Linked DNA regions of Stegostoma tigrinum. The protein of the gene in region 1 interacts with the protein of each later gene in a biochemical or structural test. Links are inferred from orthologs where the notes say so. Each region holds a gene or a part of one and is shown in the gene's direction. Other genes may lie near its edges.

Region 1 (10,883 bases):
TTGATGTAATAGGCAATCATCAGTGCTCTCTCTAAGCTGCACAGCCATTCTGAGGTTCCACGTATGTTGGTCAGAAAGACGATGCATTGGTTTCAAGTCTCTGAAGTTGCTGCTTTCAGAAAACTTAGAGATCCATGTGCTGAAGAAAGAATTAGAGGGAGTACGCAGTACTGGGTCACTTTCACCTCGCCTCTGTAATTCAGCTCTTTGAATTACATAGAGGCTAAACGGCCCTGGAGCAAACCAAACTGAATGTCAGTAAGCAGGTCATTGCTGGGTAAGCACCATTTGATAATGTCACAACTTTTATCACTTCATTGATGATCAAGAGTTGACCTTGTCAGGTTAATTTGTTCTTTTTCCCTGTAAAAATGGAAGCATGGCATCTAACCTGTTTAATAGAACAGTGTTAGCTAACTCCACAGTAGCTGTTTTGATTTGGGAAACGTTTAGGCCTTCTTCCTATTTTCTTTTATTCTCCACTGTCCTTACTACCTGACATAAAGTTGTGGCATCTCCTTCTCCTTCAACACATTGATGTGCCACAGCCACTTCTTTTCCTGTCAGTCTGGGATGTTAATTAGATCACTTAATTTACCAGTCTTTTTTAACTACTCTGTATGGACCATTGAGACGTGCTCTCAGTGGCTCATCTTTTAAAGACAGTAATATGAACATCTCATGCCTGAATTGAAGTGTTTAGGCCATAAACAAATTGAAAAGAAATGAAACCAATAGATTCACTTGATCAATCCCATGTGGCAAACAAAGGAAATTGCAGTCCTTAACAATAAGGATATTCATGAAAATCAGCTCTGGTCATCATTTTGAGGATTTGATTTGTCCAAACCTCCATGTTTCTGTTAGGGATGTGCAGAAATTTTTACCTGTTTTATACCACCCAACTACATATGACTTCTTGATAAACTGTCTATGATTGGGAAATTGTTGAAATCCATCATTAGGAACTAGCAGTATGAAGCTTGGAAAGTCAGAGTGCAATCCATTGCAGTCAGCATGGTTTTATGAAGGGGAAATCATGTTTGATTCTTTTACCAGAGTTTTTTGAAGATGGGTGACACAGTGGTTCAGCAGTTAGTGCTGATGCCTCACATCGCCAGGGGTCTGGATTTGATTCCAACCTCAGGTGACTGGTCTGTGTGGAGTTTGTACATTCTCCCTGTGTCTGCATGGGTTTCCCTTGGGTGCTCCAGTTCCCTCCCACAGTCTAAAGATGGGAATTTTAGGTGGATTGGCCATGCTAAATTGGCCAGCGTCAAGCAATATGCAGGGTAGATGGATGAGCTGTGGGAAATAGAGGACTACAGGAATAATATATGAGGATGGGGCTGGATGTTCTTTGGAGGGTTGGTGTGGATTTAATGGGCTGAATGGCCTGCTTCCACACTGAAGGGATTCTATGTAATGAACAAAGTGGGCAATGGGTGCGCAGTAGATGGCGTTTCTAGACTTTCAGAAGGCATTTAAAAAGGTGCCACACAAAAAGTTAATACACAAAGTATGATCACTTGGGGTTCACGGTAATATGTTAGCTTGGATAGAGGATTGACTAGCCAACAGAAAGCAGAAAGTCAGGATAAATAAGTTTATTTCTGGTTGGCAAACTGAACTAGTGGGGTGCCAGAGGGTTTGATCCTTGGGGCCCAACTATTTACACACTATATTAATGATTTGGATGCAGGTTAGAATATATCAGAGCCAGTTTTGCAGATGACACAAAAATAGGTGGGAAAGTAAATTGTTCTGCATAAGAATTTTACAAATTGATTTGATAGCTTAGGTGAATGGGCCAAAATTTGGCCCACTCCAGGAGAAGTTAAACATAAATAGGTGAGAGGATTTTCCATTTTGGTCACTAAACTAAAAAGGGGTAACTTGTTACCTAAATGAAAAGAAATTTCAAAATGCTTCAGTACAGAGGAACTTAGGTGTGTTTGTACACGAGCTGTAGAAAGTTAGCATGCAGTTCCAGCAGATGATAAGGAAAGTAATGGAAATTTGGTGTTTATTGCCACAGGAAAGGAGTGTAAAAATAAGGAATTGTGCTTGCAATTAATCAAATTGCAAATAAAAAGAGGCATTGATGAGACCATATCAGGAGTACTGTGTGCAGTGGGAGGTAAGGTGCAGGGGAAGTGATGTCCTAGTTGCATTATCAATAAACTATCGATTTCATGACCCTGGTGCTGTTCTGGGGATTTGGGCTTACATCATGTCATGGCAGATAGTGGAATCTGATTTCAATAAAAGTCTGGAATTAAGAGTCTACTGATGACCACAAAACCATCGCTGGTTGTTGGAGAAACCCATCTGGTTCATTAATGTCCTTTCGGGAAGGAAATCCACCATCCTTATCTGGTTTGACCGATGTGCAACTTCACAGCAATGTATTTGGTTCGTAGGGAAGAGTGATAAATGTTGGCCCTGCCAATGACATCCACATCCTGTGAATTAATTAAAGAAGGAGTTTGGTCCTTTTTCTTGAGGAGGGATATTGTTTACACATGGGATGTGGGTATCACTGGCTATGCCTGTCTCTAGTTGTCTTTGAGGAGGTGGGGGCAAAATCTGCCCTCTTGAACAGCTGCAGTCCATGTGTTATAAGTTGACCCACAGTATCTTTACAGAGGGAATTCCAGGATTTCCATCCAGTGACAATGATACATTTCCAAGTCAGGAAGATGAGAGGCTTGCAGGGAAACTTGCAGTGGTGGTGTTCATATTTATCTGCACTTGACATCCTAGATGGAAGTGGTCATGGAATGGGTAGCCATAGTGAATTATTGCAGTGCGCCTTATGGATAGTACACACTGCTGCTACTGAGTGTCAGTGGAGGAGGGAGTGAATGTTGGTGGATGTGGTTCTAATTAAGCGAGCTGCATTGTCTTGCATGATATCAACCTTCTTGAGTGTTGTTCGAGCTGCAGCCATCCATGCAAGTGGGGAGTATTCCATCACACTCCTGACTTGTGCCTTGTAGATGGTAGTCAAGATCTGAGGAGTCAGAAAGCAAGACACTTACTATAGAATTCCTTCCTCACAGCTTCCTTCAAACATTTCCCTTTGGGAAAGTGGCATCAGTGGATTTACATCAACACATGAGAAAACTGAAAAAGCCTGATTTGTTTTTTATATGAAGGAGCAAGGCTCAAGGTCTGTAAATTAATGAGTGCCTTGGACAATAGTTCAGTCAGTTATTTAGCTTATGGTATCACTTAAGATTGAAAGGACATCTTTGCAGATTAGCATGTCTAGACCAAACATATTGATTTCTTACACAAACAGTAGTATATTTGTGAAATAAACTCTGAAAAATAAGTAACAAACACTGTGTTCATTAACTCAGAAAAAGTTGATGCTGTATCTACTTCGCAATAGAATTTGAAGGCTACAGTGATACGTTAACACAGAAAAACATTACAAAATCCACAGAACACAGTAATTCCTGTGCTTTTGTAATCATGGAAATTCTATTCATAAAATATAAATGTCCATGGTTCAAAACATAATGCTGTAATAATTAATCTTTGGATCAGATTATCTTATATAGGCATTTTATCTTCCTGAATATTTACTATGGTTACTGATCTTGTTCATCATATTTGTTGTGTTTGAATGTGCAAATTGTACCATGTATGCTAGAAAGAATACATTTAATGAAATGGGCTTTTCTCGTTCATACATTTTATCCTTCTGATTTTATACTGCTGTGTTTAGTCACTGACGTCCGATGACTTGGCCCTGAAGGCAATGCTCTGTGGATGTTCACAATCCAAGAAAAAGAAATGGTTGTGGTATTTCTTGTGTGAATGGGTGTTCAACTGTTATTGTCTGTACAAGAAGAAAATGCTTAAAAAGTGCCGACTGGTACAAAAATTGCTCTAGTGAAGGATTATGAGGTAACAATAAATCAGTACAGAAAAGTTGCAGGTGCTTGTCAAACCAAAATGTGTTCTTCCAGGGAGAACCTGGAAGAATGCTGATCCCAGGAGGAGATGTCAATGAGAGGAGTTAGGTTCATATTAATGTCAGAATTGCCCAAATAATTGCCTACACTGCAGGAACTGTCTATCATGGATCTCCCATTAGAGAGTTTAGAGATTACTGGAGTCTAATTTCCTTTTAGTGAAGGAGTGCAGTTTGGAAAGCTAAGGTTGGAAAGGCTTCACAAGCCATAGTTACAGAGACATCAGTATCAGCTATTCATAATGTTCTGGCTTAAACAGATCCGTATAATACCTCAGGAGACAATTGTCAAACAACCCAGCAGGATCTGTGCCTCTTTTACCTAATCTCTTGCTACCCACCATTCAGAGTGCAGCCAGATAAATGACCCTTGACTAGAAGTCTCAGATAGGCATTTGATCATTGCAGGCCAGCGTATGAGTCAGAGAGAGTAAGTCACCAGGGTAATTTATGTTTGGGGAGTACAGCTTGCCATGTTGGGGTTATCGGAGTAGACATCAGAGCACCCTGCATTCATATAGCCCTCCAATACTCAATAACAAGTGTTACTGAACTAGAGAATATTGGTCCTGTATGAAAGCAGGCAGAAATCATATATGGCAGCAATCAAAGCTGAAAGTTTTATATACCAGTGTGCTTTTTGCATTGTCATGCCCAAATATCGCAAAGTGGCCAGTGTCAATGTATCAGTAAGAGTGACACCTCCAGACCCTGGCCGAGGATAGCATGTTTGAGTGGTCAGCAGAACATGTGCACAGAGACCAACCAGGCATAGCAGGAGATTGCCACCATTGAAGACAAGAGGTGAACCACAAAAGATCTTGGAATGAGTGCGGTGAGAAGTTTCACGGTCTGCTGTCCTCTGCCAAGATGCAGTGTTCTGCAGAAGCACACAAAGGTCCAAGTGATGGCTCAACGCTGAAGGTTGACCTTATAGTGGTAAGCATAGCAATACCACCCCTCCATCATGAGGTCAGAAGTGGGGATAGTCACTGATGATTGTGTAATGTTCAGCACAATGTGTGACTCCACAGATACTGAAGCAGTCCGTATTCAAAGGTAGCAAGATCATGACTATATCCAGGCTTGGGATTATAAGCGGCAAGTAGCATTCACACCACACAAGTGCCGAGCTATGACATTCAATGGTGTCATCATCTCTGAATCCCCCACAATCAACATCCTCAAGGTTACCATTAATCAGAAATTCAAGTGGACTTGCCACATAAACATAAAGTCTACAAGGGTAGTTGAGAGGCTAGGTGTACAACATCAAGTAATTCACCTCCTGATCCCCCAAAGCTTGTCCATTATCTACAAGGCATAAGTCAGGAGTGTCCACATCCCGTGAGTTGATATTAAAATCCTCTTCTACAGCATGGACATTTGTGTCTCTAATGTTCTCCAGTAAGGCTGTACAGTTATGGGTTGAAATATGACCGATTATGATACACTGTCAGATTCAAGAGCATTGTCATGATGGCACTGACTAATAGGCTAACATCAGTCTGCATCTTGTACTTTTTGTTTTAGTTAACTCATAGAACGTGAGTGTTGCTGGCTGGTCAGCATATATTTTCCATGGATAGAGGACGAGAGAGTTGCAGTGGGAGAGAGATTCCCTGAGGTTTGTCTCGATGGAGGAGGGTAACTTCTTCAGGGTAGGCATCCTTAGAAGAGACTTTGCAGTGGGGTTAAAAATATTTCAGAGATGATAGTAGCTGCAGATGCTGGAGAATCTGAGATAGCAAGGTGTTGAGCTGGATGAACAGCAGCATCATAGGAGCAGGAAGGCTGACGTTTCGGGCCTTCACCAGAAATGGGGGAGGGGAAAGGGGTTCTGAAATAAATAGGGAGAGAGGGGGAGGTGGATAGAAGATGGATAGAGGATGAGAGAGTTTTAGAATCCCCTTCCCCTCCCCTATTTCTGGTGAAGGGTCTAGGCCCAAAACATCAGCTTTCCTGCTCCTAAGATGCTGCTTGGCCTGCTGTGTCCATCCAGCTCCACACCGTGTTTTCTCAGATTCTCCAGCATCTGCAGTTCCTATTATCTCTGATATATTTTCCATCCCCAGTTGCCCTTGAGAAAGTCGTGGTGAGCTGCCTCTTGAACTGCTGCACTCCATGGTACTGTGGGGTGACCCACAATGCCCTTAGGGAGATAACTGCAGAATATTGTGATAACGACAGTGAAGGAATTTTTAATTACAAATTACTATCAATTCAAATTGCACATGATGGATTTCAAGCCTAATTTTCCAGAACATTACATTGGTCTCTGGTTTATACATACAGCAACAATACCACAGTGCTATTACCTATACTTGTTGTTGAGCCATCTGTATTAAAAACATAGTGGAGTTGCCACAGAAATTCCATGTTGTAGTTGCTTAAAGGTTTCACAGGCTTTAGCATCTATTGACCTTTGGTGCGTCAACAAAGCATCAGAAAAAAAACCCAAGAATTTCAGAAAGGCCTCGGTGGTAAATGATCAACAGGGCCTCCACAATTTAGGTAAACAGGTTTCCCACTAACACTGACTGATCACGATTTTGTAGGTTTGAAATTTGGTGTAAGGGAGAGAGAAGTGACTTTTCCTCAAAGCCTTGCTGCAGAACTAGAAAGATGAGAGCTAAACAAGCCTTTGGTTTGTTTGTATGCTTCATGTTAGTTGACTGGGTAAGTTTTCCTTATGAATAAGTCATACACAGAGGATACATTGTGAAGATCCAGCGGCTCTGATTTATATCCTGAGAGTAGGCCAACCTAATAACTCCTTCATAACAAAGTTAGGAAGGAGTTGTGAACTGTATTGAGAGTGGGATATAAATCAAATCCCATTACACTTCAAAAGTAATGGTCTTTCTGTAACATGTTGGCAATTAATCCGTATTGATTTAGGTAAATTTAATGAAGTGAAATGGGGCGCTATATCCCTTTGCAGATTGGTCCTTGTGAATGTAGGGGCACTGTGATTGTGATTTGCAGCAGGAAGTAGGTTTGGAAAATATAAGAATCAATCTTTGAAGGAAAATCAGTTTTTGTCGTATGAGTATAATGACATCATCTCCGTGGAAAACAAAATATTCAATCAAAGGTTATTATAATCTCTGATGTCATTACTATCATCTCCAGTGAAGTGAGCATAAAACATACGCAATTATTATCTCATGTGTTGTTAAGGCTTCATGTATACAGCTACTTTCACACATGTCAAGTAGTTTTGGGTCCATATTGATGTGAAAATTGGGGTAGAACATGGAAGTGAGGTTCCAAAGAAATATCAAGTGTCCTGAGGTACAGACAGAAGACAGAGGTCATCTCATAACAATCTGGCTTGGCTCCAAATGCATTCTTACTCCATTCTGGTAGAAAGCCAAGGTGGTAGACTGAACCTTCTCCAGAAGATCAAAGAAAGGAGGAAGTGGACACTCCCACCTGCTATTTCCTAATATTATAAATTAGCCATCATGGAGTTTATTTGCTTCTGTTGTACAATTTGGTCTCTTAATTCAGTATGTTTGTCAGGCAGTTGCCTATTACTATAACTTCAAGTAGCTTCACTCCAAATTAATATGACATCATGGGAAGTATGTTTAATGCTCAAATTTTTAAATTATAAAATTTTTGAAATCAAAGATGGAACAACAGTAAGGTGACATGCTCTACCACTCTGACACCTAGTCAAAAAGATTTAAGCTCCCACTTTATCTGCAATTTTTCCCAATGGAAGTGAAGCTATTTATTTCTTACTGTAGTGCTGTATTCTTACTGTAAATGCATGGATTTTTTAAATGCTTGTTTTCAACAGTGAAAACATGAAAATATATCCAATGTTTAGAAGAATTTCATGCATTTTATTATGTGAGGCCATAAATGCTGTCTGATCATGATTGTAAATTTCGTGAAGCAATGGAGTCTGTTATTGAAGAGAATATGTTATTTTCACACATAAGTTATCCCTTGTTCAAGGGATAGTAGGAACTGCTGATGCTGGAAAATCTGAGATAACAAGGTGTAGAGCTGGATGAACACAGCAGGCCAAGCGGCATCAGAGGAGCAGGAAGACTGATGTTTTGGGCCTAATCTAGGTTTGAAACGTCAGCCTTCCTACTCCTCTGATGCTGCTTGGCTGCTGTGTTCATCCAGCTCTACACATTGTTATCTTTGTTCAAAGGAACATGCCAGGTTGATGATTGTAGATCAGTGTCGAATATGTCAAAGGATTCCCTTTTTATTGATTTCTTACAATTGAAGATTCAGGCCCAGTCTTCCCCTGCACCTTGGGGTCCTCAACCCATTGGAAATGGCGACCAATTTAAATCTACTCAGTGTTCAGAGAAGAAATGGCAGATTTGTATGAATTGTGACTGGGTAAGTAATGCAGTTGTCACTTCATTTTTTTGAGAAATTATACATTGCAAATAACTAAAATATTTTATAATTTTGCCTAAATTCAATAGGGCTCTAAATGTCCATCTGGGTGTAGAATTCAGGGATTAATCAAGACTGAGAATCAACAAACTGATAACAGGATCCAAGCAATTCGACAGATGTTGGACATATATTCCACAGCATTTGAGAATACCCATATTACTGCGACTGAAGCTGTCAACAGAATCAGACAGACTCTAAGCAAGATAGGTGGTGAGTGGTTTATAGAAACGTAGAATCCCTACAGTGTTGAAACAGGCCCTTTGGCCCAACAAGTCCATACTGACCCTCAAAGCATCCCACCCATCCCGCATTACCTACCTAATCTACACATCCCTGAATGCTACAGGAAATTTAGCATGGCCAATCCACCGAGCCTGCATATCTTTGGAGTGTGGGAGGAAACTGCAAGCACCTGGAGGAAACCCACACAGACACTGGGAGAAGGTGCAAACTCCACACAGGCAGTGGCCCAAGGGTGGAATAGAACCCAGATCCCTGGCTCTGTGCCACTGAGTGACTATGCCGTTCCTCTGTTCATGTTTCTTAAAAGTGTCAGCTTTTATTTCCATACAAATTAAAATTGAATCACAAACTCAGATTATCACAATAGCGCATCCGTTGAGGATTGTGCAACTACAAAATTCCCCTCCCAATTAATTCAGATTCAGGAAATGCAGCTTCGACATTCATTTGGATTTAGTTCAAATTACTAATTTATTTAAAAAATGTACTTGCAGAACCCAATGAAAAACTAAATAGAAGAATTTATTTGTCATCTTTTAGGACTTGGCGACACTTATTATCAGTTGGTGGATCATCTGAATTCCAGGCTTACCATGTTGCAGAACAAAACTAACGATCAAAGTCTCAAGTTAAAAATACTAAAAGATAACATGTTAGAACAATTCAAGGTTGTCTCAAGACTGGAGGTAATTTTTTATTTCGTTTATTTGTGAGAAGTGGACATCATTGGCTGGCCAGCACTTATTACCCGTCCCTTATTGCCCTTGAGAAGGTAGTTCTGAGCTGCCTTCGTGAGCCACTGCGGTCTATTTATTATTCATTTTGAAAGTGCAATGCTTTCACTCTGAAAGTTGCAAAGTCTGCCATTTTTATTTACAATATTAACCCTAATACAGTAACTATTAATGTCATGATAACAAAGCGGGTAGCTGGATGAACACAGCAGGCCAAGCAACATCTCAGGAGCACAAAAGCTGACGTTTCGGGCCTAGACCCTTCATCAGAGAGGGGGATGGGGTGAGGGTTCTGGAATAAATAGGGAGAGAGGGGGAGGCGGACCGAAGATGGAGAGAAAAGAAGATAGGTGGAGAGGAGAGTATAGGTGGGGAGGTAGGGAGGGGATAGGTCAGTCCATGGAGGATGGCAGGTCAAGGAAGCGAGATGAGGTTAGTAGGTAGGAAATGGAGGTGTGGCTTGAGGTGGGAGGAGGGGATAAGTGAGAGGAAGAACAGGTTAGGGAGGCGGGGAACAAGCTGGGCTGGTTTTGGGATGCAATGGGGGAAGGGGAGATTTTGAAGCTTGTGAAGTCCACATTGATACCATTGGGTTGCAGTGTTCCCAAGCGGAATATGAGTTGCTGTTCCTGCAACCTTTGGGTGGCATCATTGTGGCACTGCAGGAGGCCCATGATGGACATATTGTCTAAGAAATGGGAGGAGGAGTTAAAATGGTTCGTGACTGGAAGGTGCAGTTGTTTATTGCGAACCGAGCATAGGTGTTCTGCAAAGCGGTCCCCAATCCTCCACTTGGTTTCCCCTATGTAGAGAAAGCCACACTGGGTACAGTGGATGCAGTATACCACATTGGCAGATGTGCAGGTGAACCTCTGCTTAATATGGAAAGTCATCTTGGGGCCTGGGATGGGGGTGAGGGTGGAGGTGTGGAGGCAAGTGTAGCACTTCCTGCAGTTGCAGTGGAAGGTGCCGGGTGTGGTGGGGTTGGAGGGGAGTGTGGAGCAGACAAGGGAGTCGCGGAGAGAGTCGTCTCTCCGGAAGGCAGACAAGGGTGGTGATGGAAAAATGTCTTGGGTGGTGGGGTTGGATTGTAGATGGCAGAAGTGTCAGAGGATGATACGTTGTATCCGGAGGTTGTTGGGGTGGTATGTGAGGTTGAGGGGGATCCTCTTAGGGCGGTTTTTGTTGGGGGCGGGGTGTGAGGGATGTGTTGCGGGAAATGCGGGAGACACGGTCAAGGGTGTTCTCGACCACTGTGGGGGGGATGTTGCAGTCCTTGAAGAACGTGGACATCTGGAATGTGCGGGAGTGGAATGCCTCATCCTGGGAGCAGATGCGGTGGAGGCGAAGGAATTGGGAATAGGGGATGGAATTTTTGCAGGAAGGTGGGTGGGAGGAGGTATATTCTAGGTAGCTGTGGGAGTCAATGGGCTTGAAATGGACATCAGTTTCTAGCTGATTACCTGAGATGGAGACAGAGA
Region 2 (11,317 bases), on another chromosome or scaffold:
CAAAGGCTCAACAGGTTGGGACTCTACTCACTGGAGTTTAGAAGAATGAGAAGTGATCTCATTGAAACATAAAGGATTCTTAAAGAGCTTAACAGGGTGAACGCGACTATCCCTTTTAATCCATGATCTTTAGCTTTATTGACAACCTAGTTATCTATGTGTTGCATTATCTTATTTACCCATTGTGTTACGTCATGAAGTAACTCGAATAATTTATTTGCCCTCATCAAATCCATGCTGCTGCATTAGTTCACATTTGTCCAAGTGACTGTTAATTTCAACCTGAATTATTGTTTATTACGGAAGCAAAATGGAATTATGATAGTTTGCAGAAGCAAATTCTGCTGTTCAATGGAAAAAGAGGAACAAGAGGTGGCAATTCAGCCCCTCAAACCTGTTCTGTTCATCAATCAAATCATGGTTAATCTGAATCTTACCTCCCTCTACTCACCTTGGTTCTATATCTATTAATACCTTGTCTTAAAGGGAGCAGATGTAATGGTAGTGTAATTTGATGAGTAATCCAGAAGCTCAGGCTCATACTCTTTGGGCACTGGTTCAAACCCCACCATGGCAGTTGGTGGAATTTAAATTCAATGAATAATATCTGGAATTGAAAGCTGGTGTCATTGTGGAGACTATGATAATTATCATTGACTAAGTCATCAATTTCATTCATGTACTTTCGGGAACAAAATCTGCTGTCCTTGCCTGGTCTATTCTATTGGCTCAGAAGAATGACGTTGCCTTTTAACTATTTCTACCAAATGGTTCAATAAACCAATTAGTTCAATGGCTTTTAGGGACTAACAACAAATGCTGGCCTTGTCAGCAATGCCCACATCTCATTAAAGTTTGAAAATAAATACAAAAGTCAGCTAATCTCCATTCTAAAGTGTTCAATTGAACTTCTGCCTCAACAGCTTTTTTGAGGGTGAGAATTCCAGAATTTAACCCCCAACTTTGTGAAGAATTGCTTCCCGACGGTGTTCTAAATAGTAACACAAGTTGCACATTGGTATCATGCCCAATCACATTGAAATGCCTGAAATTACACCAGTGTTTCCAAGAATTAGAAATGAAATTAAGCCAGCACCAACCAACCAAGACCATCAAGATCACTTCTACGATGCAGGCCAAATAAGAACTCACATTGTCAAGGAGTGTCCTCTGACTAAAGTGAAGGCTGGCTTTAAAAATTCCATCTTGCCATTGGCAAGGTTATTTCGTGGTTCCATGATAATATGCATGCTAAATAAACAAATAACTTCCCTAGCATGTGGTCATGAACCACATTCTTGACCTGCTGATAATGTGCTGTCTTGGTGCACCCACAGATGTGGAGAAGCTTTAGGTGGTCAGGAGGTGAGTCATTCACTGCAGACTTCCCAGCCTCTGAATTGCTCTCAAAGCCATATGGTTTATATGGCTGGTCCAGTTCAGTTTCTTGTCATTGGGAACCCCTGGATGTTGATTCAGCAGTGTTAAGAACAAAGAAAATTACAGCACAGGAACTGGCCCTTCGGCCCTCCAAGCCTGCGCCAGTCGAGAGCCTATGTCTAACCTGTCATCTATTTTCTAAGGGTCTGTGTCCATTTGCTCCCTGCCCATCCATGTACCTGTCCAAATGCATCTTTTAAGATGCTAATGTGTCTGCGTCTACCACCTCCGCTGGCAATGCGTTCCAGGCACCCACCACCCTCTGTGTAAAGAACTTTCCACGCATATCTCCCTTAAACATTCCTCCTCTCACTTTGAACTCATGACCCCTAGTAATTGAGTCCCGCACTCTGGGAAAAAGCTTCTTGCTATCCACCCTGTCTATACCCCTCATGATTTTGTAGACTTCAGTCAGGTCCCCCCTCAATCTCCATCTTTCTAATGAAAATAATCCTAATCTACTCAACCTCTCTTCATAGCTAGCACCCGCCATACCAGGCAACATCCTGGTGAATCTCCTCTGCACCGTCTCCAAAGCATCCACATCCTATTGGTAATGTGGCGACCAGAACTGTACACAGTACTCCAAATGTGGCTGAACCAAAGTCCTATACAACTGCAACATGACCTGCCAACTCTTGTACTCAATACCCCGTCCAATGAAGGAAAGCATGCCATATGCCTTCTTGACCACCCTATTGACCTGCGTTGTCACCTTCAGAGAACAATTGACCTGAACACCCAGGTCTCTGTTCATCAATTTTCCCTCAGACTTTTCTATTTACTGTAGTGTTCGCCCTTGAATTTGATCTTCCAAAATGCATCACGTCACATTTGCCCGGATTGAACTCCATCTGCCATTTATCTGCCCAACTCTCCAGCATATCTATGTTCCGCTGTGATCTCTGACAGTCCCCTTCACTATCTGCTACTCCACCAATCTTAGTGTCATCTGCAAACTTGCTGATCAGACCACCTGGTGTTAAAGCAATTGAACACCAATGGCCAGAAAGTAAAGACAGGAAGAGTACAGATTCTCTGTCATTTGAAATCTTACACTTGTAAGAGAAAGATTATTTGCTATTTATCAGTCTAAGCCAGAATCTTGTCCAGGTAATGTTGTAAGTGGGCCCTCATTGTTTCTGAGGAGTTACAAATGGTACTGAATATCACTCATTTGTGACCATCTCTATGCTTGATCTTATGATGGAGGGAATGTCAATGAAACAGCAGATGATGTTTTGGCCAAGGACTCTTACAAGGGGCTTGTGGTAGCTGTGAGCCAGGAGGCCCAAGTTCAAGCCCTACCTGCTCCAAGTGTGAAATAATTCTTGTTTTAAAATTCATTCTCAGGAACAGGGCACGGCTGACTAGATCAACATTAGTGCCCATCCCTAATTGCCCATTAGGGACAGTTAAGAGTCAACTGCATTGCTATCAGTCTGCAGTCACATGCAGTCTGGTCCAGGTAAAGATGGCAATTTTCCTCCCTCAAGGACATTAGTGAACTAGATAGGTTTTTCCCCAATATTTGACAATAGTTTCAAGGTCATCATTAGACTTTTAGTTACAGATTTTTTTGAATTCAAATTCCACCATCTGCCATCAGGTCCTGAAAACATTACCAGGGTCTCCGAATTAACAGTTCAGCGATAATACCATTAGGCCATCATCTCCCCTTTATGTGTGAACAGGTTGAATAGAAAATATCTACCCTGTAGTGTAGGCCTAGGAACGGGTCCAGCAAGGACCTTCCTCAGTGATGTTTGAGAACAAAGACGATTGGCTCCAACAAATACAACAGTACTTCTGTGTGCTAGGCAGGACTCCAACTAATGGAGCGTGCTCATTAAATGCTTTTTAGGAAGGGGTCCTTGATGTAATGCTTGGTCATATGCTGCGTTAATGTCAGGAGCAGTCATTCTCAACTTACCTTTTGAATTCAGCCCTCATCAGTGTTTGGAACAAAGCTGCAATGTGAACAGAAGCCAAATGCCCTGGCGGAAACCTAACGAAACATTGGTGAGAGGGTTATTGGTGAGGATGTGGTATCTGAAAGCACTGTCATTGAATCATTGGGCAGCACAGTGTCTCAGTGGTTAGCACTACTGCCTCACAGCACCAGGGACCTGGGTTCAATTCCACCCTCTGGCGTTGTCTGTGTGCAATTTGCATGTTCTCCCTACATCAGTGTGGGTTTCCACCAGGTGCTCCGATTTCCTCCCACAGTCCAAAGCTGTGCTGGTTTATTGGTGTTCAGGGCTGTGTAGATTAAGTATGTTAGCCATGGGAGATGCAGGTTCTTAGGGTAGGAACATGGGTCTGAGTGGGACGCTTCAGAGAAGCAGTGTGCATGTGTTAGGCCAAATGCCCTGTTTCCACATTGTAGTGATTTTATGAAATTGAAAATGATTGCACAGCCATTTAGCTCATCAAGTTCATGACAGTTCCTGACAAACAATCCAGTTATTCCTATTCCCTGTTCCTTAACAAGCATCCTCAATCTTTGCTCCAAGTAATTCTGCAGTTCACTTGTGCAAAAAATATTGATTCTGTTTAAAGCAGCCCAAGACTATTCATTCCAAACCCAAATCAGTTATTGCAAAATAACTTTTCACTGTGTTCTTTTGTTAGTCACCTTGAACTTGTGCCACGTGGCTACTGAATCTTCAACCTCTTTCTTTAAAATTTACATAGAACATAGAACATAGAACATTACAGCACAGAACAGGCCCTTTAGCCCACAATGTTGTGCCGACCATTGATCCTCATGTATGCACCCTCAAATTTCTGTGACCATATACATGTCCAGCAGTCTCTTAAATGACCCCAATGACCTTGCTTCCACAACTGCTGCTGGCAACGCATTCCATGCTCTCACAACTCTCTGCGTAAAGAACCTGCCTCTGACATCCCCTCTATACTTTCCACCAACCAGCTTAAAACTATGACCCCTCGTGCTAGCCATTTCTGCCCTGGGAAATAGTCTCTGGCTATCAACTCTATCTATGCCTCTCATTATCTTGTATACCTCAATTAGGTCCCCTCTCCTCCTCCTTTTCTCCAATGAAAAGAGACCGAGCTCAGTCAACCTCTCTTCATAAGATAAGCCCTCCAGTCCAGGCAGCATCCTGGTAAACCTCCTCTGAACCCTCTCCAAAGCATCCACATCTTTCCTATAATAGGGTGCCCAGAACTGGACGCAGTATTCCAAGTGCGGTCTAACCAAAGTTTTATAGAGCTGCAACAAGATCTCACGACTCTTAAACTCAATCCCCCTGTTAATGAAAGCCAAAACACCATATGCTTTCTTAACAACCCTGTCCACTTGGGTGGCCATTTTAAGGGATCTATGTATCTGCACACCAAGATCCCTCTGTTCCTCCACGCTGCCAAGAATCCTATCCTTAATCCTGTACTCAGCTTTCAAATTCGACCTTCCAAAATGCATCACCTCGCATTTATCCAGGTTGAACTCCATCTGCCACCTCTCAGCCCATCTCTGCATCCTGTCAATGTCCCGCTACAGCCTACAACAGCCCTCTACACTGTCAACGACACCTCCGACCTTTGTGTCGTCTGCAAACTTGCTGACCCATCCTTCAATCCCCTCATCCAAGTCATTAATAAAAATTACAAACAGTAGAGGCCCAAGGACAGAGCCCTGTGGAACCCCACTCACCACTGACTTCCAGGCAGAATATTTTCCTTCTACTACCACTCGCTGTCTTCTGTTGGCCAGCCAATTCTGTATCCAAGCAGCTAAGTTCCCCTGTATCCCATTCCTCCTGACCTTCTGAATGAGCCTACCATGGGGAACCTTATCAAATGCCTTACTGAAGTCCATATACACCACATCCACAGCTCGACCCTCATCAACTTTTCTAGTCACATCCTCAAAAAACTCGATAAGGTTTGTAAGGCATGACCTACCCCTCACAAAGCCGTGTTGACTGTATTTGATCAAGCCATGCTCTTCCAGATGGTCATAAATCTTATCCCTCAGAATCCTTTCTAACACCTTGCAGACGACAGACGTGAGACTTACCGGTTTATAATTGCCGGGGATTTCCCTATTTCCTTTCTTGAAGAGAGGAATTACATTTGCCTCTCTCCAGTCCTCAGGTACGACTCCAGTGGAGAGCGAGGATGCAAAGATCTTCGCAAGTGGCGAAGCAATTGCATTTCTTGCTTCCCAAAGCAGCCGAGGACAAATCTGGTCCGGGCCTGGCGACTTGTCAATCTTAATGTTTGACAAAATTTTCAGCACATCAGCTTCCTCTATCTCTATCCATTCCAGCATGCACACCTGCTCTTCAAAGGTTTCATTCACTACAAAGTTCGTTTCTTTCGTAAAGACAGAAGCAAAAAACTCATTTATGCAATGTTTAACAGTTTCAAATAACTCTATCTAATGCTCTGTTCATTTTCTGTGCTGATAACAATGACAACTGATGACACATTCCACCAATTTATCAACAATCAAGAGGAGATTGATGGGCAATTGGGGGTAGGGTGGGCATCAGGTGTTGTAATTGGCCGAGTTGGTTTGTCTTGCTCTTAGCGCACAAGACATAACTGGACAATTTTCCACACTGTCAGTGTAGCAGCTGCACTGGAACAGCTAATGACAAAACACAAGTGCTTAGTACTCTTGTTAGAATATTGACAGTGCCCACAGCTCTGGCTATAACAATGCCTTTTGCGATTTCCTGATATTGTACAGAGAGACAGGAATGCATTGGTTGACAGAGATACCATATTTACTGATGTGGATGGCTTGGCAGACTGAGAGACAAGGGCACACTAACAGAATGAGATTCAAAAACACAATAGTAGACTGAGACACTGACACACTGGCAGAGTGAGACACTGACAGATAGGGTCACACTGGTAAATTCGGGCTCAGAAAATAATTGGCAGATGGAAACTCGGGGAGACACTGGCAGACCGAGAAGTGTGGCCACGATGCAATCTGAGATTATGGGAATCACTGGCTGACTCAGATAGGACACACTGGTGGACTGAGAGAGCAACTTCCTGTAACCCGTCCCTCTAGATATGCTGAATATGAAGTCAAGACAAGCCAATGAGTTCTTTGACCGGTTTCCCTTGGGTAATTACGGTGAGAGATGATTTTCTCCAATGACTTGCAGCAAACCCACGGTAAAGTGGAGATTTAGACAGACGCTAGGAAAGGTAAACGGGTCGCGGGGCGGGGGGAAAGTCGCTTACCCAAGGCACGCTGCGGGCTGGGGTCTTTCTGTGTCTCTTCTTCACTCTTTCTAGAAACTTCAGAACAGAGAATTTGGATTTGATCCTTTTACAAGGTGGTGTTTCTGCCGCCCTCCTCGAATTTACCCCAGAATGTTTGTAATTCTCGCCAAACTCAACTTCCGGGTTCTTGCCCGGGGGGGAAATGTCATCACATGGTCCAGGTTAGCGCACCCTAGCAAACTAAACTAATCCGGGTTAAATTCAGTAGCTAGCTTTAAGTAACCCGTTTCATTTAAAACAACCCTAGCTAACTAAATTAGCCTATATTAACTAATCCGGGATAATTATTTAACCAATCTGGTTAGTTTGTACCAAATTTGGCAGACTAAAATCATCCCGATGAGCTAAATAAAATCAGGGGAAAAAAACTGTGGGTGCTGGAATCAGAAACAAAAATAAAAATTGCTGGAAAAGCTCAGCAGGTCTGGTAGCATTGTGGAAAATTCTGGTTTTAATCCTGATTGATTAACCTTGGCTAATAACTTTATTCTGGATTAATACAACAAATCCAGGCTAACTGAACAAAAACTGCATTGAACTCTGCATTCAAGCTCAATTCAAGCTGTTTTAACCAAGACCAAACAAACTCATCTGCAATAACTAAATTACTGCTCTGGTTTTGGTAACCTGGGCTACAAGAATTAATCCAGGTTAACTGAATTAGCCCAATCCAATTGTAACGAACTACATTAACTCAGTAGAGATAAACGCACCCGGGGTTATCTGAACTGACACTGGCCACTGCAATCAACTATTCCTGGGTAACAAACACTTGGCTGGAGGTAAATTTTTAATGTTTGTGAACTTTCTGAAACAGCGCGAATGTAACATGTTCAGTGTGAGCACTGCCATGTATCTCCTACTAAATTCAAATTTACAGGCCAGCATTACTATTATAGGAGGAAGAAGTGCTCAGGTTAGATATCTGACTGCTGCAAGGCCTATTCAGTCACCAATGAAACAGCGTGGAGCTGGAGGATTATAGCAGGTGTGGCAGCATCAGAGGAGTAGGAAAGCTGAAGAAGGGTCCTGGCCCAAAACATCAACTTTCCTGCTCCTCCGATGCTGCTTAGCCCGCTTTGTTCCTCCACCTCCACACTGTGTTATCTATGACTCCAGCATCAGTAGTTCTTACTATCTCTGTTCAGTCACCAGTTTGATTGAGGAGTTAGTTAACCCCAACGTGCAATCTCCCAAGTTTAAACTGGGACAGGCACAGCCTGGTTAGCTCCCCCTACACTGCATACCACCTGATTGAAACATTACTGTTTCACGGTTGTAGTTACCACAATTATTTTTCTTTATCCCTTTCTGGGATGTGGCCACTGCTGGCAAGGCCATTACTTATAGTGTATCCCTAATTGATTTGGAACAGTGTGGTTTGTTGGGCCATTTCAGGGAGCACTTAAGTACTGACCACATTGCTATGAGTTTGGAATCTTACGTAAGCCAGATGAGGTAAGAATGGCAAATCTTCTTCCCGAAAGGGCATCAATGAATCAAACAGGATTTTGCAATAATCACTTGATTTCCAGCATCCAAAGTTTTTTGTTTTCTTTTAAATCATTGATAGTAGTCGTGGACCCCATTCCATTGAGTTTGTCTTTCGGCTGAGAGCATTCTCCTTTTGCCAGTCTGTTATCTCCATGTCATTCTGCACATGCATCTGTTGGGGAGGAGGAGATATCAATTATTCACCCAAAAGCCTTTAAATTGTGCAGATTACATCTGTATAGAATATATGCACACGGATAATATGCTTTGGAGGCCGAGAATACTGAGATATTAGCATCCTTAACAACCCACCTAAATCACACTAGAGATGCTACACAAACCATTCCTTAGTGCAATGTAAGAATAACTACCATTGCAATGATAAATGTGTGGATGTTCCTCAGCTGCCTGCATGATCTGGACAGATCCAAACCACCGATCTGTAGAGGTCATTCTGCAACCAGAAACAGAAGAGGATGTTCTTTATTCTCTTAATCAGATGCTGTGTTCTGATCTGAAACAAAGAAACCAAATTAGCAATCAATGTATTTGACAATCAAGTAGTTTATGACTGGGGCTGATGAGGGGCACTGGGATCATACGGTGGTAAGTATCCTGTGCAGTGACTGCAGCGACCTCAGTTTGGTTGAAAACCACATCAAGTAGCTTATCCTATGTGCAGCTCAGGAGTCAATCCTGGACATAGCAGTTGAAGTCTAGCAGCAGATGCATTCTGAACAATTGGTGAGAAATTATGTCTCTTCCAACTCAAGTCAGGGACTCCATCAACACAATGCCACAAGGTGGTGTAAATTAACAGCTGAGATGATATTCTAAGAAGCTGAAAAACTTGGCATCAACAATGGCATGGAGGGGTTTGGTTAAAGAGGTGGAATATGGCTTTAAAGGAAGAAGCGAGAGAGGTGCAAAGGGAAGAAATTCCAAACCATAAGGCCTTGAAAACTGGCTTTTGAAAGAGAAAAGAGAGATGTATCAGTAGTAAATTTCTGAATTTAAGTTGAGAACAGCTGAAGTCAAGTCTGTCCATGGTGAAACAAAAGGAGGAGGAGGAGATGAACGTTTTTGGCAACTAAATTCCATCAGACTCAAGGGATAACAAGGTGTAGAACTGGATGAACACAGCAGGCCAAGTAGCATCTTAGGAGCAGGAAAGCTGATGTCTCAGGCCTAGACCCTTCATCAGAAGCTGAAAAAGGACCCTCCATCAGACTCGAAGTTGCTTCCTGATTTATTGAAAAATATTCAAGATATCATGCTGGATTATAATGGTGATAGCAATAAATCAAGTAATCAGTGTTAGTAACTTCTACCTACAGTAAAATTAGTTAACTTTCTCTTTGAACCAGTGGATAACCAGTATCTCTGAGTCACAAGCTTTGAGTGTCAGTTCTATACCAGGTGATTGAATGCTTGGAGATCCCCTCATATCTTCGTGGTTTTCATTGTTCCGCACCCAACCCTTGGAAAGCCAGACCACTACAAGGTGTGGCTGACAGCTGTGCTGTAGGTACACAATGTAGTAACGTTTTAACACACACATCCCCAATCTCATTCCTGACCATATTAAGCAGAGAAATGTTGGACTTGCATTGTCTGCAATTTGAAATTGTGATTAACATGTCAATGTCTGATCAATGAGTTGCTAAGACTGCTCATAATACAACCATTTCCCCTTCTTCTATCCCATCTCTGGTAACCTATTAACTAGCGCAGTGATTGGTAATAGTGCTGCAGGAATATTGAGAGAGAGCAGAATGAGGTGACAGGAAGATAGAGGATACACAGGGAGGCTGCAGTGGAGATAGAATGCAAGAGATGTGGGCATGGGGTTTATCCTCCAGAACAAAGGCCTCAGTGCCAGAGAAGAATAAAAAGGGAAAGCTATTCCTCCAAGCTATAGAGAGAGCCCACTGACTGTCAAGATCTCAGGACTGCAGCGTTATCAGTTCAGTTGGTAGCCATCTAGCTGCTGAGTTAGAAGGTTGTCTATTCAAGTTCCAGCAGCTACAGCAAAAGTACTTAGCTGATTTTCCATTGCAGTACTGAGGGAACACTGCACTGTCGAAGTACAGTCTGGGGGAAATCACTATAATGTCAGAGGGTCAGCTTTGAGGGCTTGCTTCACTATTGGAGGAGCAGAATTAAGACAGTGTTACACACTTGGGGCATCAGTACCTGAATAACTCTGCACTGTCAAGGGCAGTATTAAGGGTAATCAGCCAGCTGGAGTGACAATATTGAAGGAGTGCTGCACTATTACAGGGGCAGCGCTGAGGGACCACTCAACTCTGATAAATGCAGAAACAGAAATATGGGGCCTGGTGCTGCTCATGGCTTAGATCTCCAACCTTGGCCCCATACCTAGCATGAGCCAAGTGACCCTGCCCACAAGTTAAGCACAACTATCCCATCCACACCCCCCAACGCAAGCTCAACAGACCCCAAAAGTTTCCGACTCCAGTTATTGAGCCCTGATGTGCCTTTGTCCTCAGCCCTGACCAGTACCTTGGGAATGGTGCCCTATCAGAGTAAAGTATTGAGAGACCGATGTTGCAGGAACAGTGTAAGAGAGTGTTGCAATCTTCCAGGAGCGGGATTGAGGGAATGTACCATGAGGACTGAACTTTGGGAGGGGCTTCATTAAGGGATTGCTATACTGTTGAAGTAAAGGTCTGAGGGAGCATTGCGGAAGTATTGCACTGTTGGAGGGTAGTACTGAGACACCATTTCTTTGTTGCAGAGACAGTACTGAGGGAGTGCTACACTGTTGGGAGGTTAGTTCTGAGAAAGTGCTGCACCACTGGATGGTCAGTTTAGAGGAAACATTTCATTATTGCTGATCAGCACTGATGGAGCCTTGCACTGTTGCAAGGACTGGACCGAGGGAAAAATTGCACTGTTGGATGCACTGAATTTTGGATGAAACGTTATCTCGAAGTCCCATTTGTTCTAACATATGGGTGAGAATCCAAGGCATTGTTTGAAGAAGAGCAGGATGTTCTCAACAACCAGAACTTTAATTATCCTTCATCCAACATCCCTAACAAAGACATCTGACTGTTTAACTTATCGCTGTTTGTGAGGG
Region 3 (10,821 bases), on another chromosome or scaffold:
TTGGGCAATACAACTCATTGGAAAATAGACAAACAGCTTAAGTAATTGTCACATCCTCAACACACCCCAAGGCGCTTCATCCACAACATCTTTCACAATTTGAAATGTCATCATGTGCTAGTAAATGTTGTAGCTGCACAGAAAGACAGGGATGACAACAAAATGGATGAATGCTAGTCAAGACACCATACCTCAGGAATACTATGTTGGTTTTGGCAGTGTAGTTTCATTAAAATAATACTGGGCCTGAAGAGTTTATATGATGTGGATGGTTTGCAGAAACTCGACATGTGTTCCCTTGATGATAGAAAATAAGTTTCAGTTTTAAAATAAGGGGTCAGCCGTTTAGAACAGAGTTGAGGAAAATCTTCTTCTCCCACAGAGTGGAATGGAATGCTGTGCCCCAGAAGTCAGTGGAGACCAACTCTCCGGATACGTTAAAGAAAGAGATGGATGGAGCTCTTAAAGATAGTGGAATCAAGGGTCATGGGGATAAGGCAGGTACAGGATACTGATTGTGGATGATCAGCCATGATCATAATGAATGGTGGTGCTGGCTCGAAGGGCCAAATGGCCTACTCCAGCACTTATTGTCTGTTGTCTAATAAAGGACTAATGAACTAAACTAAAGTGTTTAAGATAAGGCAGGCAGAGGTGAACACTTACTTCTGTGGGGAATAGAGCCCAGAACAAAGAGTATAACCTTAAAATTAAAACTGAACCATTCAGGACTGATTCAGGAAGCATTTATTCACAGATAAGGTGATGAAAATCTATAACTGTGCCGTCTGAAAGCCTGGAAGTCCATTTGAAAAATTGCAAACTGAGTCTAACTTTTTTTTGTTAGGTAATGGTATAAATCAATATGAAGCTATGGGGTGGGGACAGGAATTAAAAGCAAGAATCTGTCATAGAGTCATACAGCATGGAAACAAACCATTCAGGCCAGCTAGTCCACACCAATCACGTTTCCCAAACTAGTCTAGTTTCATTTGCCTGTGTTTGGCGCATATCCCTCTAAACCTTTCCTATTCAGGTACCTGTCCAAATGTCTTCTGAGTGTTGTAACTGTACCTGCATCCATCACTTCCTCTGGCAGTTCATTCCACACACTACGTTTGTGTGAAAAGGTTGTCTCTCGGGTGCCATTTAAATGTTTATTCCTCTCACGTTAAACCTGTGCCCTCCAGTTTTGGACTCCCCAAACCTCGGGAAAAAACCTTTGCTATTCGCCTTCTTGATGCGCCTCACGATTTTGTAAACATTTACAAGGTCACCTCTCAGCCTCCATCACTACAGTGAAAGATCTCCTTAAAATCCAAACCCTCCAGTCCTGGCAACAGCCTGGTAACTGTTGTCTGAACCCTCTCCAATTTAATAATTTCCTTCCTATGGCAGGGAGAGCAGTAGTACATACAGTGCTCCAAAAGTGGCTTCACCAACATTCTGTACAACCTCAACATGACATCCCAACTCCTATACTGGAAGGTCTGAGCAATGAAGGCAGGCATGCTAAACACCTTCTTAATCACCCTACCCACCTCTGATGCAAACTTCAAAGAGCTATGTACCTAAACCCCTAGGGCTCTGTTGGACAACTCTACCAAGGGCCCCAAGATAATAAAATGTGAGGCTGGATGAACACAGCAGGCCAAGCAGCATCTCAGGAGCACAAAAGCTGACGTTTCGGGCCTGGACCCTTCATCAGAGAGGGGGATGGGGAGAGGGAACTGGAATAAATAGGGAGAGAGGGGGAAGCGGACCGAAGATGGAGAGTAAAGAAGATAGGTGGAGAGAGTATAGGTGGGTCCTCTACCAAGGGCCCTACCATTAACTGCAAAAGCCCTGCCCTTGTTTGCTTTACCAAGATGCAATATCTTAATTAAACTTCATTTTCCACTCCTCAGCCCACTGGCCCAATCTTTTTGTTATCTTTAGATAACCTTCTTCACTCTCGACTGTGCAACATGATTTGATTGAAGGATAAAATGGGACTCCAGGACTGAACGGTTTCCCCTTTCAAGCCTGTTGCAATGTCAAGATGAATAGATTTTGGATTATCAAGCATTCACCCAGGCGGTGTTAATAAATATGCTGTTAAATTCGCCTACGTGACGATGGTTAGTGAACTTCCAAAGCCGTTCATTCTAAGAAGGTCTCGATAAGGTGCTATATAAATTCACCGACAGATAAACGCAGTGAAATGATATTATTGGCGCCCTAGCCCATCCTCCCATCCAAAAAAATGAGGTGCCGAGACGATCTTGCGCGTTTAATGAAATCTACAAGGGTTGTTTTAACAGAAGTTGAGAACTCTTGAAGTCCCACATTGTTCAGCGGCACGGCCAAGAGGTTAATTATTTTCCGAGATTTATAGCTGCATCTAACCAGGCACTCACGGCTACGACCTGCAAATTTGCAAATTGCTTTCGGGCTGGTTGTCAAAGTGGCAGATAAGAGAGAAATCTACTGTCCGTGTGGACAAAGAGGTATGATACTCCATTCAAATTATACTCGTTATCGGACACGCGCAAAATAAACGAAAAATGTCCTTGTGAAACAAAATAATCACCTTTCTCGTGCAAATATTTTTAATCAGCTTGTTCAAACACGTTGTAATACGTCTTAGGCAGGATGTCTCAAAGCCGGATCTTCTGTGCCAGAGATGGGAAAATTACCACTGTGGCACAAAGGCTCTAACCTTCCCCTTGCAGGCTGCTGGCCCGCTGTGTTCATCCAGCTTCACACCGTTATCTTACAGAGAGGGGACTTTGTTGGGCGCGATCCGCCCTGTTTATGGAAGACTGAGAATTGTACATTCATGAAAGGATTCACAGCAGAGATGGAGGCCGTTCCGCCCATCAAGTCTGTGCCCGCTTCGAATGAGTCATGAGTGGCGAGAAAACGAGACGTGCATTTCTGGGCAGAGATAATGGGAACTGCAGATGCTGGAGAATCCGAGATAACAAAGTCTGAAGCTGGATGAACACAGCAGGGCAAGCAGTATCTTAGGAGCACAAAAGCTGACGTTTCGGACCTAGACCCTTCATCCCGAGACGTCAGCTTTTGTGCTCTTAAGATGCTGCTTGGCCTGCTGTGTTCATCCAGCTTCACACTTTGTTATTGTGCATTTATGGGATCGGGACTATATATTCAGAAATTGAGAGAAACTGGTAGGTTCAGACTAATCTGCGCTGATTGATTTGATATAATAAAATGTGAGGCTGGATGAACACAGCAGGCCAAGCAGCATCTCAGGAGCACAAAAGCTGACGTTTCGGGCCTAGACCCTTCATCAGAGAGCAACGATTGATTTGATTTTTTTTTAAATGGGTCATCGCGTGAAACAGCCGGAAGGAGATTTTGGCCATAACTTTCCTCTCGTCGGAAGGTGATCTCCTTTTAACACAAGGCGCGGAGTCTCTCCTTTGGAGCAGTTAGGATGTTATGGGGTGGAGAACGGAGAGTGAGCAGTCATTGTGGTCACCATCTCAAAGTAACTCTGCTCCTACCACCTCTGCCTGACGTCGGTACTGCAGGCTGCCCGAGTCCTGAGGGAGAGAGATCACTGAGCAATGTTCTTGTGGACTGGGACGTAATTAAAGTCTCTATCGCTGCTGCTAAAATGACAAATCCATTAGCCGAAGGGCTACCTTAGCGATTAACAAATACCTTCATTTTTCTTTCAATATTGGTGCCTTGTAAACTACCAATGTTCTGTCATTGTAACAAGAGATGCACTCAGGGCGATTTCCTTGCGTGGTTCAAATATATAGAACAATACAGCGCAGAACAGGCCCTTTGGCCCTCGATGTTGCGCCGACCTGTGAACTAATCTAATCCCCTCCCCCCTACACTATCCCATCATTATCCATATGCTTATCCAAGGACTGTTTAAATGCCCCTAACGTGGCTGAGTTGACTATATTGGCAGGCAGGGCGTTCCACGCCCTTACCACTCTCCGAGTAAAGAACCTGCCTCTGACATCTGTCTTAAATCTATCACCGCTCGATTTGTAGCTATGCCTATTTGTAGCTTTGTAACAAAAACAAATTTGCTAGAAAAGCTCAGCAGCTCTTGCAGCATCCGTAAAGGAAATCACTATTAAACTAGACAAGTTCTAACGGGCTTTACTGCTGGGCTGAACCTGTGGGAAGTGTTGAAGGAACCAATGAGGTGGAAAAGACAGCAAGAACTATATAATCTGTATCTCTCGCAATGTCAGAGGGTGATGGACGGGATGAGTCATGACGGGCAGATTTGCAGTGAGAACGTTCGGCAGACAGGGAGGGAGCAGACGGATCCCCCGGAAACAGCACGGAGATCTCTCTTCACGATGCTGTCTGGCCCTGCTGAGTCTTTCCAGCATTGTCTGGCTTTATTATACGTTACCCATCTGTAGCGCTCGTTCAAGAGGGACTGGGTTTAACAAGCAGAAACTGAAGGCTGTTCTCTTCCTTACAGGCAGTTGGATTGCAACTTCCCCAGGGTTTTACACATTGTCTGACAGCACATAGTCGAAACGAAGAATCCCGTCAGTTCCGAACTTTTAAGGTTATATGAATATTATACAGGTTTAGAGGGATAGCAGGAACTACCGATGCTGGAAAATCTGTGATAACAAGGTATAGAGCTCGATGGACACAGCAGGCCAAGCAGCATCAGAGGAGCAGGAACGCTGACATTTCGGGTCTAGACCCTTCTTCATTTTCTGAAGAAGTGTCCAGACCTGAAAAGTCAACTTTCCTGCTCCTCTGATGCTGCTTGCCCTGCTGTGTTCACCCAGTTCTACATCTCGTTATCTTAGCTTTAGAGGGATATGGGCCACAAACTGGCAAATGGGACTAGATTAATTTAGGATATCTGGTCGGCACGGACGAGTTGGGCCGAGGGGTCTGTTTCCGTGCTGTACATCTCTGCGATTTTAAATTGTCAGAGTATTTGAATATTCAATGTGCGGCGGGGGTTTATCCCATTTTACATTGGCCATGTTATAGCGATTATAAAAATCAACCTGCTCTTCAACTAACTCGGCAGCAGCCTCAAAGCAGCTCATTTTTCGCCCTATGGATTGTACAGTCCTGCTATCAGTTGCTAACAAGATCCAGGGTTCATCTGAACATAAAAGTGTCAGAATAATGTCATTTCCTCGCGATCTGTTCTGACAGGGAAAATGAAGGCGGCCGGCCAGCGCGGAGACTTGGCTCGGGCAATAGGGACTGTTTGGAAATCAGTCAGGAACAAGGAGACACATTCCACAGGCGAAGTTGTGCAAGGCTGACTGTTTCTGGCTGTGGATCCCTGTCTGTCTCTCTCTCTCGTCTGTCTTTCCCTCCGTACGCCTCCCTTTCTCTTTCAGTCTCTTTCTTCTTTTCTGTTTCCCGTCTTTCTGTTTCTCCCTCTATCCGCCTCTTTCTCAGACCCCTCCCCTCGCCTACCATCCCTGTCTCCCCACCGCCACCTCCACCTCGTTCAGCTTGTGCCTTGCTTTCCCAGTGTCTCTGCCTCTCCCTCGATGTACCTACTTCCGTTTATCCCCTTGTATCACTATATCTCTTTCCATAAATTGTGTTTTCTCGGTAGTTCTGTTTCTTTGTTGGGGGGGGGGGGGGGTGGCTCAAGAGGCCGGTGTGTATGTGCGGTGGGTGTGGAAGGGGGCGTGTGTCATGTAAAGCCGGCCCTTCACTCTGATTGGAAGCCGCGGTGGATGCGTGTTGCCTGAGGTCCTGACTGGGGAGGAGGGGATTTGAAGCTGGCATCAGTTTCCCAACACGCGGGAGTCCAGCCCTCCTCCCAAACGTGACGTTTTCCTTCCCTTCACTGGGGGACGGCTAAATAAAACATTTGCACATCTGGCAGGCTCATAGCTACTGGACTCACACACACATACACACACACACAGACACAGAGGGAAAGACGGAGAGCAAGAGAGATGTTCGCTGCAAGGCTTCATTCACTCTGATCCTGTGACAATCTCACAGCCCCACACCTCTCTCCTTGGGCTGACACATGCGAGGCAGGAGCCTGAGAAGAGAGCGGAGCTGCCTCGTCCTGTTGGAGGAGGGTTTGTAACTGGGCAGTGAGGAGTTTCAACACTGCTCCTTGAGGTGGAGGAGAGACGGGCGGAAGATTTCGTGTGTCTTATGTGTTTCATTTGGACACTCGACCATTGCCGAGGGGTCGCCACCGACATTACATTTTAAAACAAAACATGTTTTAGTTTTCTTCGGGGTGTCTGTTGTGTCTGGTTTTCTGAGTCAATGGAAGGTTAAGGACAAAAAGGAAAACAAACACACACTGCGCCAAATAGATACATTTATTTTCCGCAACTGGGAAGCGCCAGGACTAACGATGGAGACGGGCTCAATGCGGATCCTTCCAAATGAAACGGGCCGCTCTGCAGCTGAATTGAAATCGTTTTAATCTCTTTTAATTTGTTCGGGAGCCTGACTTTTTTTTCTGAGCACTCCCCACCACCACCCCCACCCCGCCCAACCCCACTCCACCTCCCGTCGGCCCGATCCCAGCAATGATGCTGCTCCGCAGATTCCGGGTGCTTATCGTCACGGTGTTTCTGATCGCCTGCACCATGCACATTCTCATTGACTTGCTGCCCAAGCTGGAGCGGAGACCGGAGCCGGGGCTTTCCGGAGGAGGGGCTGGACCGGGCTGCCCCTGTCAGCACCGGGACTCGCTGCTTGTTGGTCCCGAGCTGCAGCCGGGGCTCCCGGCCTGGGGCAAGCCACTAGCTGGGGCCGCTCCTCCAGGAGGGGGTGCCGGAGGAGATGCTGTTGTCTGGCCCAACAAACACACCCTCCGGATCCTGCAGGATTTCAGCAGCGACCAGGCAGCCGGATCGAACCGGAGCGGCTCGCAGACCCTGGCTAAGGCTGAGGAAACCGGACTGAGAGCGGGTGAGGAGCACTACAAGAGGCTGATCCCAGATCGGGTCCTGGAGGCTGTAATCCGAGCTCCCGGCCAGTTCTCCAAACTGACTGCACTCTTCAAACATCCTCTGTACCAGAGCCCGCTCCCAGCACTTACTCAAGGAGAAATCTTGTTCAACATTAATACCGACATAAAATTTAACCCTAAACTTCCCCGCGACTGGTAAGTGAGTTTAACTCGTTCCCGTTTACCCTGCAGTCAGTTCTGTCCCTGGGCTCACTCATGCGGGAAGCCGAGGACTCAGCGCTCACTCCAGCCCGTTCCCCCTCCCTCCCTCAGGCTTTGTAGACGCAGCCCCTACCGGTTTGATGCTGTCGAGAGCTCCGAACTCTCCGTGATTCTCACCCGCCCCCCCGGTCACCGAGAATCCCACAGCCGCCGGTGCAGATCGAGGAACTGTGCGAATTTCTTGAAGACTTAGCTACAGACACCGAGAGCCACACCAGGACATTAGTGCACAGGGAGAGACAGAGAGAGAAAGAGAAAGAGTGGCAGGGGAATAAGTGACAGTTAATGAAAAGCAGTCAGACTCAGAGAGCCAGGAAAATTGTCAACAGTGAGCGAGGGAGAGAGACGGGGCGACGGGGACAGAGGGAGAGGCAGAGAGAGTGACAGCGAGCGGTTGGCAGAGAGAGAGAGAGATAGGGATAGAGACAGAGGGAAACAGAGAGAGGTGAACAGACAGCGATTTAGAGACAGAGACAGCGTCAGAGAGGTAGTGGGAAAGATAGAGACAGAGACAGGCAAACGAGGAGAGGGAGAGCGAAAGGCAGAGAGAGAGATGGAGACAGCAAAAGACAGAAAGCGAGACAGAGGGAAAGGGAGAGAGAGATATAGCAAGTGCGGCAAACAAAGAGAGAGAGAAAGGTGGCCAGAGAAAGTCAGGGGCCAAAGAGAGAAGCAGACCAAATGAGTGATGAAGGGAAGACAAAAAGAGACTAAAAGGGACGCTCAGAGGGAGACAGATAGACAGAAGGACAGACAAGACAAGCAGGAACACACAGAGTTGGGGAATATACGGTGACAGAAAGATGCAGGGGAAATTGAGCGGAGAGACGGAGAGAAAATGTAAGAGAGAGGGAAGAAAGATCGAGGTAAAAGCAAAGCTGCGAAGAAATTCTCACCCTCATAAAGAAGCTTTTCCCGGATGCAAGCTGTGCTTTTGTATCTCATCCTTTCGCCTGCATGGAGTTCTGTCTTTGAGATTGGTATCCCGTACATTTCTAAACCTCTGTAGAGGAACTATCGTTCTGGGCGAGTAAATAGCACAGAATCAATACATTCCCTATCCACCTTTCCCCCCTTTAACATTAAAAAAACCTTCGTCTTCCGCAGAACCAATCTCCGCCAGGTCACCCTCTGTGTTACTGACACAGCGTTCAATGTGGTTTCACTGAACACTGGTACCAGAGTATTATGGCTGTGACCAGGAGCTCTCTCAGCTACATTGACCATCCTCTGCAGCTCTCTAGCAGTGTCCGTGTCTGCCTGTGCCTGCTCTCTCCGTCCTCTCCCTCTGGACCTCACTCTCTACCTACTCTCCTTTCACACCGCTCTGCTTTCTTTGTCTCAGTCATCCCATTGCAACCTTCTTCACATCTGAGATCACTCGCCCTGCTCGCTCTTCCCATGAACTTTGTACCTGTTTCTCCCAGCCCTCTCTTTCCAATCGCCTTATCTGAAGTCATAGCTTTCCTTGAACAGGTTACCGCAGGCGTTATTTTTAATCTGGCATCGCCAGCACCTGGGACGGTATTAGATACCGGGTAGGATCTCCTCTGGTATGGCCAGGCTCTTGTGGAAGGGGGAATTGAGTTTCTGTCGCTGTCGGATGTATATGTAAGAAGCATTCTGTCTCCAAAGTCAAGGACATGTTAAAACTATTGCCTCAATTTTACACGTTGAGGGTCAGATCGCTATTCACAGAAACAGGATTTCCTGGTTTTACAGTCACCCAGTCTGTGTGTCAGCTTATTTTGAAGCTTCGTTTCGGTGGAATTTTCTCTGAGGGCTAAGTGGAAGCGAACTTGGACGCGCCTCTACCCCCGCTCCCCCATCTGTACTTCCCTCTCTTGCTTCTCCTCCATTTCTCGCCCATCTTTCTCTCACACTGTTGTTGTCCACCATTCCCACCTCTTCCCTTCCGTTCCTTTGCTCTCATTTTGGCTGTTTATATCACAAACAAACCCCCTTCCCCAAGTGGTACGGTGACAATGTCGCCAGTAGGTTTGATTCTCCTCCCCCATGCATTCTCTTTCAGGGTGAATGAAGATGAGGAGGGTCTTGCAGCGACTGGCGATCCCCCCATAGACTCGTACCCCAACTGGTTAAAATTTCACATCGGGATAAACCGCTATGAGTTATATTCTCGCCACAATCCAGCCATTGAAGCTTTGCTGGAAGATCTAGTGAGCCAGCGGATCTCCAGCGTAGGTGAGGAAAATCTCTATTTGAATAACTGCTCCCTTGCTCTACCGTGCTTCTTTGTTCTTGCATATTCCGCAAACGCCCTTCCCCGCCCCCGAACTAATTAGACCTTGCTCCCAGTGTCTCAGGATGGAGAAATGCAGTTGAATGTAATCTGTCTTTGTCAGCCGGGATGTAATGAGATAAATTGGAAGCGAGTGCACCTCGGAGGATGCGATACTAAGATTATGGATCTCTCATTGAAAATTATTCCTTGTCTGAGATCATTATCTCTAGTAAGAAGTGCCAGAGAGTGGAGGATGGGAGTTAATAGCTTTTTGGACTGACTTATCCAGCAAATAAATAACATTGATGTCTCAAAGGAGAGATGTGAACAGATACTGCAATTTCATTATATACAAATCTTAAGGTGAGGTTGCTGAGACTCTGTATCCTGAATATGATTTCTAACAAGGATGGTGGCTGAAAGCACCATGCAAATATTTCCAATTCACATGATATGCTGTAGTATCTTAAAAAGCAAGGATAGATCTCATGGAAAACAGGGACAACCAACCTTCTGGATACAGAACTAGCGTGAAGGTAGTGGACAGAGGGTGGTGGTGGAGAGTTTCTTTTCATACCAGAGGCCAATGACCAGTGGTGTGCCATTGGATCGGTGCTGGCTCCACTGCTTTTCATCATTTACATAATTTTTTTTGGATGTGAACATAGGAGGCCTGGTTCATAAGTTTGTAGATGACACCACAATTGGAGGTGCAGCGGACAGTGAAGAAGGCTACCTCAGAGTACAATGGGACGTTGATCAGATGGGCCAATGGGCTGAGGCGTGGCAGGTGCAGTTTAATTTAGATAAATGTGACGTGCTGCATTTTAGAAAGGCAAATCAGGGCTGGACTTATACACTAAATGGTAAGGTCCTTGGGAGTGTTGCTAAACAAAGAGACCTTGGAGATCAGGTTCATTGTGAAAGTGGAGCTGCAGGTAGGATAGTGAAGAAGGCATTTGGTATGCTTGCCTTTATTGGTCAGTGCATCGAGTATTGGAGTTGGGAGGTCATGTAGTGACTGTCCTGGACATGGGTTAGGCAACTTTTAGAATACTGTGTGGAATTCTGGTCTCCCTGCTATAGGGAGAATGTTGTGAAACTTGAAAGGGTTCAGATTGTTTTACAAAGATGCTGCCAGCTTTCGATAGTTTGAGCTGTAGGGAGAGGCTGAATAGACTGGGCTATTTTCCCTGGAGTGTCAGAGGCTGAGGAGTGACCTTATAGAGCTTTATAAAATCATGAGGGGCATGGATAGAGTCAATAGACAATGTGCTTTCCCCAGGGTGGGGGAGTCCAAAGCTAAAGGGCATTGTTTTAAGCTGAGCGGGAAAAGATTTAAAGGGGTACTGAGAAGCAACTTTTTCACAGAGGGTGGACTGTGTATGGAATAAGCTGC

What was found.
Region 2: the proteins of fga (region 1) and plat form a complex in vitro, tested with the Homo sapiens proteins (2 studies listed by BioGRID). The link is inferred for Stegostoma tigrinum from reciprocal best matches to the Homo sapiens genes FGA and PLAT.
Region 3: of the proteins of fga (region 1) and extracellular serine/threonine protein kinase FAM20C-like, one has a biochemical effect on the other in vitro, tested with the Homo sapiens proteins (2 studies listed by IntAct). The link is inferred for Stegostoma tigrinum from reciprocal best matches to the Homo sapiens genes FGA and FAM20C.

The regions. Positions count from the first base shown.
Region 1 is NC_081354.1:53,995,256-54,006,138, reverse strand, and holds the start of fga (fibrinogen alpha chain), read left to right. Parts: upstream 1-6,541; 5' UTR 6,542-6,613; coding exon 6,614-6,667; intron 6,668-8,245; coding exon 8,246-8,362; intron 8,363-8,451; coding exon 8,452-8,635; intron 8,636-9,208; coding exon 9,209-9,354; intron 9,355-10,883. UniProt on the Homo sapiens protein: Cleaved by the protease thrombin to yield monomers which, together with fibrinogen beta (FGB) and fibrinogen gamma (FGG), polymerize to form an insoluble fibrin matrix. Fibrin has a major function in hemostasis as one of the primary components of blood clots.
Region 2 is NC_081393.1:16,072,501-16,083,817, reverse strand, and holds the start of plat (tissue-type plasminogen activator), read left to right. Parts: upstream 1-6,450; 5' UTR 6,451-6,565; intron 6,566-6,675; exon of another isoform or gene 6,676-6,855; intron 6,856-11,317. UniProt on the Homo sapiens protein: Converts the abundant, but inactive, zymogen plasminogen to plasmin by hydrolyzing a single Arg-Val bond in plasminogen.
Region 3 is NC_081376.1:36,614,078-36,624,898, forward strand, and holds the start of extracellular serine/threonine protein kinase FAM20C-like, read left to right. Parts: upstream 1-5,837; 5' UTR 5,838-6,530; coding exon 6,531-7,111; intron 7,112-9,209; coding exon 9,210-9,382; intron 9,383-10,821. UniProt on the Homo sapiens protein: Golgi serine/threonine protein kinase that phosphorylates secretory pathway proteins within Ser-x-Glu/pSer motifs and plays a key role in biomineralization of bones and teeth.